Linked DNA regions of Daphnia pulex. The protein of the gene in region 2 purifies or fractionates together with the protein of the main gene of each other region. This does not show direct contact. Links are inferred from orthologs where the notes say so. Each region holds a gene or a part of one and is shown on either strand. Other genes may lie near its edges. The genes, in order: ubiquitin carboxyl-terminal hydrolase 22-like and transcription initiation protein SPT3 homolog.

The links.
Region 1: the proteins of transcription initiation protein SPT3 homolog (region 2) and ubiquitin carboxyl-terminal hydrolase 22-like purify together in Homo sapiens (affinity purification with western blotting; 6 studies listed by BioGRID and IntAct, with this or other methods). This does not show direct contact. The link is inferred for Daphnia pulex from reciprocal best matches to the Homo sapiens genes SUPT3H and USP22.

Annotation. Positions count from the first base shown.
Region 1 is NC_060023.1:10,811,757-10,816,013, reverse strand, and holds the start of ubiquitin carboxyl-terminal hydrolase 22-like, read right to left. Parts: upstream 2,842-4,257; 5' UTR 2,627-2,841; coding exon 2,504-2,626; intron 2,444-2,503; coding exon 2,311-2,443; intron 2,250-2,310; coding exon 2,034-2,249; intron 1,969-2,033; coding exon 1,796-1,968; intron 1,687-1,795; coding exon 1,541-1,686; intron 1,472-1,540; coding exon 1,352-1,471; intron 1,278-1,351; coding exon 1,019-1,277; intron 936-1,018; coding exon 757-935; intron 670-756; coding exon 520-669; intron 426-519; coding exon 383-425; 3' UTR 1-382. UniProt on the Homo sapiens protein: Deubiquitinase that plays a role in several cellular processes including transcriptional regulation, cell cycle progression or innate immunity.
Region 2 is NC_060027.1:750,330-754,044, reverse strand, and holds transcription initiation protein SPT3 homolog, read left to right. Parts: upstream 1-1,627; 5' UTR 1,628-1,791; coding exon 1,792-1,846; intron 1,847-1,911; coding exon 1,912-2,089; intron 2,090-2,157; coding exon 2,158-2,464; intron 2,465-2,526; coding exon 2,527-2,784; intron 2,785-2,823; exon of another isoform or gene 2,824-2,853; coding exon 2,854-3,000; 3' UTR 3,001-3,001; coding exon of another isoform or gene 3,002-3,121; 3' UTR 3,122-3,182; downstream 3,183-3,715. Other genes in the region: HEAT repeat-containing protein 6-like, read right to left, coding at 1-346, 407-491, 556-792, 863-1,111, 1,167-1,352; DALR anticodon-binding domain-containing protein 3-like, read right to left, coding at 3,002-3,121, 3,183-3,478, 3,548-3,714.

The DNA.
Region 1 (4,257 bases), on a different chromosome or scaffold from region 2:
GATCGAAGGAGGAGCGGGGTGGAGAGAGAGTTGCTTGGGATTTACAATCAAAAGAATCCAAAGGGCAGAAACACCAATGGGAGGGTTTATGTCAGAGAAATCTCGCTTTTTTTTTCGTCTTTCAATTCCTTGTTCTAACCATTTTGTGTTTTTTTCATATTTTATTGAATCGTGAAAAAAGAAAAAATGAAAATGGTCGTTTTCTACGGTCATTAACCGCCGATGAACTGTCTGGAAGTGGAAGTGAGAAAGGGAAATTAAAAAAGGAAAAACAAAACAAACAAAAAAAAGGTCTTGTGAATGGAGGGATGGATGTTGCATGCAAAAAAAAAAAAGTTGACTCGGTTGAGCTGCCCTTTACAAACATTTTTCTTCTCCATTTCTATTCATACTCCAATATCATCTTGTGGTAGAAGAGTAGGTACCTGAAAAACCAAATCACCCAATTAATATCCAAGAACAACCAAGCAAATTGCAAAATATTTTAAACTAAGTTTGTTTTTGTGGAATATTTGATACCCTTCACTTTGGAGGACGTCGCGAATATCAGCTTTGGTGATGAGATGGTCATCGCACTTGAACCAATGGTCTCGGTGCTGCCGGATGTAGGCCGTGTAGTGACCGGCTTCAATGGTTCCGACGTGGTTGATCACAGCAAATAGAGAATACCTGGTGGGGTGAGAAGGAAGGAAGCAACGAGGATTCCGTCACAGTCACATTCGGTCGTTTTCTCAATAAACCGAGCAACAAGTTTACATGTTTTCAGTGGAAATAAGGGGCTTGTGGACGGGCCTATCAGCCCGGTCCGGAGAATCCGAATTGACGTTGTTATTGATGTTTCGACGGTGGGACATGAATGGACTCATGTCCAGGTATTCTGGAAAGGCGATGAATGACGAGATCTTCTTATGGAATCGATTGGAATGTTCAAAGCGCTGCATAAAGTAAAGAAAAAAATAACGATGAGTGGTTCATAATATGACGTTCAAAGTCAATAAAAAAACAAAACAATACGCACCTTTAGGTGAAAACTAGCAACCACTGGCAGTTTCTTCATCGTCAGTTGTTTTGTGGATTCTTGGTAGCTAAGACATCGCGAACACTTGATCTTAGCCGAAGATCCCAAGTGCTCTGCCCGGGTGAATCGCTCCAAACAGTCCTGCAAGGAAGTGGGAATCGATCCAGGGCCGTTGCCAGTGGTGACGACTTTCGTGCTGGGTGACGGACCGAGGTCCAGGGAAATATCCCAAAAAGGATCTACTGTTGTAGAGACACCGCTGCAGTGAACAAAAACAAAATAACCGTTAAGACCAGCAAATTTAGGACATCAAACATTTGAAATAGTTATTACTGGCAAGCTTGACAAACGACGTCTGACTGCAAACCACCAGTGAAAATTTGATCTATGATACATGTGCACCGATTGACAGAGTTCTCTTGAGGCTGAGTCGACTGTTGCTCATTTGGTCCTCTGTTAAAAATCATTTATATTTAGAATGTCACGTTTCTCACGACTTTTATAGCCAATGAATAATTTCACCTGCAGTGTCGATGGAGTACATCCAAAGTTGCTATGAAAAATTCGTGGGCGTCTTGCTGTTCATATCCAGCTAAATGACGAGCGTGAGTCCATATCAAGTGAAGAAGTCGGTGCAATGTCAGAGGAGCCTTGTTCCCCGAATAGAACTGCGAAAGAGAAGATTAAAAAAGAAGCGATAAGTCTAGTAGGAGTGTTATGAATCCGAAAATAGATTTCTCACAGGAAACGAGGATTCTTGTTTTTTGGATGACATACCTCTTGGAATAGGCGAGAGATTTCGCAGACCAGACAGCGACTCGGTTCGTCTTGGAACTGACAAATATGACGATCCGACAAGAAGAAATCTCTGAGAAGAGGTACTTTTAAGAGAGCCTGTACTATGCAGTTCATGAAACAGGTGTTGCCCAAATTCACTAGACCTCTGAGTCCTGCCATGAATGAAACATGGAGTTAAGATAAAAGATTGGATAATGAATTTTTTTAAATAATGAACCGATAGTGGCAGAGTCTGTGATCTTCTTGCGTCGTGTATGCTTTTTGAGGAGCTCAATTTCTTCCTCAGAAGGTTCCCATGAATGATAGACTTGACCCAGTCCCAAGGAGAGAGAAGCTTTGGTTTGATGCTTTTGAGCAATAGTTTCCAATTCTCGGTCATAGACGTAATCCCCACACTGAAAGCAGCACACAACTCCATAAGTCAGATCTACAGCTGTAAAAAAAAGGAGGCTGCATTAGTATCAATGAGATTTGATTTTTGGTTGTCGAATTACCTAAGAAATGTTTCCGCTGCTGAGAGTGGGCCTGTATGTGACCAGCACCATAGCAGCCAAAGAAAATGCAGTGAAGGCAGGCATGAAGCCTGGGTCCTCTTCGCTGACAGACATGACACACACACGATTTGGCCTAGCAACAAAAATGATGAGTAAAGGAGTGATTTAAAAGAAACAATACTTGAACTCTTACCTTGCGTTTACGGGCTTCTGAAGATGTGCATGCCACAAAAAAGGAATGAATGAGCCGGTAGGGCCTAGTCCCCTTGGCCGCTTTGAAGTTGTTCAAGTGGAGACAGCCATGGGCAGCCGACATGGCCACCGACGGTGAATTAGACTTGGGCAAAATGTTGGCGGCTTTATAATTCCACACGTTTTAATAGAGACCTTATAGAAAATTAATAAATTTCGGCCTCTACAAGCCCAACCTCGACGGCTTTCTCAAGAAGAAACAATTTATCTAAACGCCATAGCTTCTTTCCTTTTCTGTAGGCCAAAAAAAAAAATTTATTCTGCTAAAATGGTAAAGCGCCATCGCCATCTTCTGTCCAAAATAACAACCTCGTGCAACGTTGAGCAGACAAGATTTTTTTGAGGAAAAATGGAGGGAGATTTTTGTGTGAAAACCGCAGACAACAAATCAATTATATCCTGGCCGCCGGAAATGTGGTAACCGCTAGCTTTTGTTCGGAAATAATACATGGACTAGTGAACTTTTTTTTTGGTGCAGGAAGCAATTCCCCAGGAGATAACCTCATTTTATATAATGATTTCAAAAGATTGGAACGAAACGTGTTTTTGTTTCCCCCTTTTCTTCCGAATTCAAGATAATTGGCAATGTTTTGGCTGGGTGAAAATGAGGTCGGGATTTCGAAGAAGACGTTTTGCCAGAATCAAAATGCTCGTGGAATGTGAAACTCTTGCATTAAAAAAACAACAATGTTGGAAAGTGATGTTTACACGGATGATGAAGCCCTTGGATGAAGTGAAACGGAGTGGAATAAAATCGAAAGTTGAGCTATTGCAACGAGCCGTGAAATAACCAAACGTCACCGTCTCCTTTATCGACGATATTCGACCACAATGGCCGAGATCGACGACGTGTGCAACACATCACATTTCTGCCATAAGTAAGTGGCAACTGGTTTGCAATCAATTTTGGCAATCAAACTAGATTATGTCGGCGATGCATTTCAATCGCCACATGTCTGAATGAATTAAGATCAATCCAAGGTTAATAAATTCGACATGGTCAATCAGCTGGTGTGTGTGTGTAAATAGTTATCTCTCCCCACGTGTTAAGTCATTCTTGACGCGAAATTTTCATAATAACGCTTTCGAGGTGGCCAAAAAACCATGTGATATCCAATTGGACACGATGTGTCGTGAATAATGATGCTGTTGTGGAATAATCTTGTGGCCTTGAAAGTCAAAATCTTGAAGAAAAGAACTTGGGGATGTCTGCCAGTGTTATATAGTCGAAATGCCCTTCAAAATGGATTCTTTTTCATTTTATTTTTCTTTTCTTTTAGGTTCTCGAAGCTTAACTTTATAGCTGATAATAGAAAAAAAAAGGACTCCCAAAGCCCCTCGAGGACGTGAAGAAGAAACTGGAAATGTGTCTAAATGGCCGCTGGAGAAGAACTCGCTTCCCAATATTTAAGTATATACATGTTTTTCTATACTTTCAAACGTATCCAACAACCCTATGGCTTCGCCCTGCTGATGACCAGCCCATATAAGTATACGGTAATTCCCTTTTTTCTCTCGAGACCTGCTGGTGTATCCAATTATGCCATAATCGGCCATCGTGGAATTGTGTTTTTCATCTCTTTTCTTTTTTCGCTGCCAACCAACCGAGTCATTCTCACCCTTCTTCTTCTTCGGTTGTTAAAGGGCCTGCTGGAGAGTTTCCTACATCTTGTCTGTTCGTTCATCCTCGCATTG
Region 2 (3,715 bases):
ATTTTCAAAGCGTTGGAGCGGACTTTTGCCTGGGCTTCTTTCAGTCTTTGATGAGACTGCACATCAGAATCAGATAGTTCCGAGTCTGAGCTGCTGACAGGAATGTTGTTCTTTGTCCACGGTTTATTTTTCGTTTGGAAATGGACTTCAATGTCAACTTCCTCGATGTTGCTATCTCGATTCTTGGATTGAACTTTGCTGGGAGGACGTTTCTTTCTCACCTTCGGATTCTTCGTCTGATCTGACTTGGAAGAAAGTTCCACAAATGGAAGGGATGATGGACGAATTGGAGCGTACTTTAGTGGCTGACCAGCGATTCCAAAAAGCATGTAGTATCGTGCTAGACCTTAGATAAAGAATATATATCATATCCAAATAAGCAGGTCTCCGAAATGTGCAGCCTTACTAAAGATACTTTCCAAATGAGCCACTGTTGAAGCAGTAAATCTAACAAATGTATTCTCTAATCCATAGAAACAAAGACTAAGAACCTAGTAAAATAAATGAATGTGGTTAAGAAATTTCTTCATGACATTATAAGAAACACTGTTTTACCTTGAGAAGGTTAAGATTGTTTGGATCGGAATTTAGGTGTTGCTCTTGGAATTTTATGAACTGGATGATACATGTGTTAATTACATCCTTTGATATTGTAGACCAATCCTTTTCTCCCGAACAGTTGGTAAAATTGCAGAGAATTTTCAGAATGAGAACTGTTTGATTATTGATTTGTTGTTCTTCATTCAATTTATTGATCAAGAATCCAGAAGGACTAAGCACTTTCTCCAAAGCCTAATTTAGTAATTTCAATGGGAAACATTATTGTTCAAAATTTTTCATTCATTCCCAGTTTCAGACCTACTTTAGTTTGTTTAACTTCTTTGAAGTTGACTGCCACAGCAAGACAATTGAAAATGTCAGTAAATATTAAATGATTTTCATTCTTAAGGGATTTTATAATCCAATCAATTAATTGCTCTGATGCTTGACTTGTTAAGTGTACATTTGGAAGTTGTAAAACTTGTTCCCATATTTGACAAGTCTTGGCAACTTTAAAAGATTCTTCATGTTTCACAATTTTTAAAACATCTGATACTAAAATTACAGAATCCTATAAACATAAGATTTTAAACAGTGAAATGAATATAACTTTTATGGAATCTTACTTGAACATTGACTGACGACGATTCCAATTCTTTCCTTTTAAGATCGAAGAAAAGGGTGTTCAGATTATCCAAGAAATTTGTTATTTCTTCCGGATTTGCATTTTTCTTATCTAACAATAGGTTGAGCTTTTCTCGAACCCCTGTCAGATAATTTGTGTCTAATGATTTAAGTTGAGAAAGAGCCATGACTCTATCTCGATTGTCACACTTTGTTTACAAATTGAAGGTCCTTGATTTTTTCGACATTTTCGTCTGCTATGTGTCGACGAAGTACCGAAGGCATCCGCTTGGTTTTTTTTTTTCTTAATTGAAAAATGTTTAAGATTAATGAAAGCGTGGTTCATTCAAAAGTTCATAAAAAATAAAGATTTTTTTTTCCTTACTAAATTTTGGGAAAAAAATTGAAATAGTTTCAAAATTAGCTTTGGCATTGAGGCAAATTCAAATATGTCTAGCTAGGCTAGCAGACTACCACACAATACCTTCTTTTAGGGTTCAGTTCAGACTTCAAACAATAACAAATGGAGTTTTAGAAAACACCGGTTGATATTACTATTTGGTACACGAATTATACCAACACAACTGATATTTTGTAAAAATTAGCAAAATTCTCAATCTCCTAAAAATGCCAGCTGCTGATGTATCCACTAATTCTTCCACCGATGGATGGTACATCTTGGGTAAGTTCATATTAACGACCAACAATGTCAACATTTCCTAACTACATTTAATTCGACATGTTTAGAAATCCAAAAAATGATGTATGGATTTGGCGACAGCAAATATTCGCTGAAAGAAACTGCTGAATTAGTAGAGAAAATTGTGAAGGAACAACTAATTCAGTTCCTGAATGCACTGTCTGAGGTTGCTGTTAAAATTAACTCAAAGAAAATTGGTATCAAAGAATTTCTAGTCTTACTTAGGTAGGTAACCTTCAGTTTAACAATATCTCAAGTTATTCAATATATTGAAGTGATTTCTGTTAAATTAGGCACAGTCCAGTTAAACTGAGAAGATTTTGCACCTATTTACAAGCCAGTGGGTTTAAGGATTTGGCAAAAGAAGATGATTTGCCTAAAGACATAATGACTGAATTTTCTGATCTTCACACTGGAAATAAAAAACTGAATTCTGCTCTTGCATTCCTACAACACCTTGATCCATCATGTTATCTGTGTAATGTGGCAGATCCATCTAAACCTTTCCTGTTACCTGATGATGCCCTCAAGGAACGAAATGAAAGGATTGAGAGAATGACATTAGCCATGGAGAAGGGGCAGTACATTGAATATTCTCAAGTATTTTGATTCAACCTAACTGCTTTTTCAAAATCTAGATTTAACAGAATTGTTTTTGTCAGGCCAAATCTACCTCATTTAAGAGAGGCCAGCCTTCTGGTAAATTTCAAGATTGGTTACTTAAAGATTCTCCAGCTCCTGAGGTTGCTTTAAGTGCGACAGCTTGGTCTATTCTCAGTTACTTTGCTTACGAAACCATCGCACAAATAGTAGATCTGGCCTTCATAGTACGAAGAGACAATATGGCTGGGCAAGTGAGTGACGCAGTTCAACGTAACACTGCACCAAGAGTATCTCCAGCGAATGCTGATTTGTTCAAGGTAAAAGGATTAAAATGAATGTTACAATAATTATAATCATTCTTTAAAACAAAATTTCCGTATTTTTAGCCGACATGGTCAAATTCGATGAAACCTCTTCAAACAGCGGAAGTCTCTGAGGCCATCAGACGGTTCAACAATACACACAACTCAATTTTTTCTCCATTCCGAAGAAATGGTGTTCCTCCTCCTGGACATCGACTTCTGGCACTGTAATTTAAACGTACTGCAAGGGCTTCAAATTCAATATGGCGAAAGCTGCGTCGTAAATTGTTAATATCACTTTCAACATCCAAATTCGTGCGTGCATTGTTGGATGCGATCGGTTGTGTTCATCCTAAAAATAGGAAACTTTAATGTAAAATTGTATGCAAGAAACCTGAATAAAGAATACTCACACATAGGGTGCGAACTGAACTGTAGTAATGGGAATAATCCTGCGATAAAAATAGCAAAAATCGCCATAACTCTGAAGTTATCTTTGCGATGCGAGTGAGTGAAAATTTGTTCAGCATAGGAACAAATCCAGCAATATATTTGGAGGTGATTTCAATTTCTGCTTTATGCTTCAGCAACTTAAAATTGGTCGTATCCAAACTTGGCAGTGGAGGGTAAAGTGAGCAATCCACTCCATCAGAAAATTTTTGAAGTATACAGGCAACCCTACTTCTGTTGTACAAAACCTTTATTGCTTCTAAAATAGAAATGAAAAATTCAATAATTAGTTATTAAAAAGGAACCATGATTTTGGTAAACTGAATACCTCTGAATTGAGGATCAATTTCTAGTCCAGCTAGTCCTACCGCATGCATTGGTTTTGTGGTGTCATTGTGCAAGAAATCATAACTGATAACAGCCTCTGTGATCCATGCTTCAGACATACTTTTACCTTCCGTTGGATGCCTGGATTTAACATGCAACTGTCGTAGCC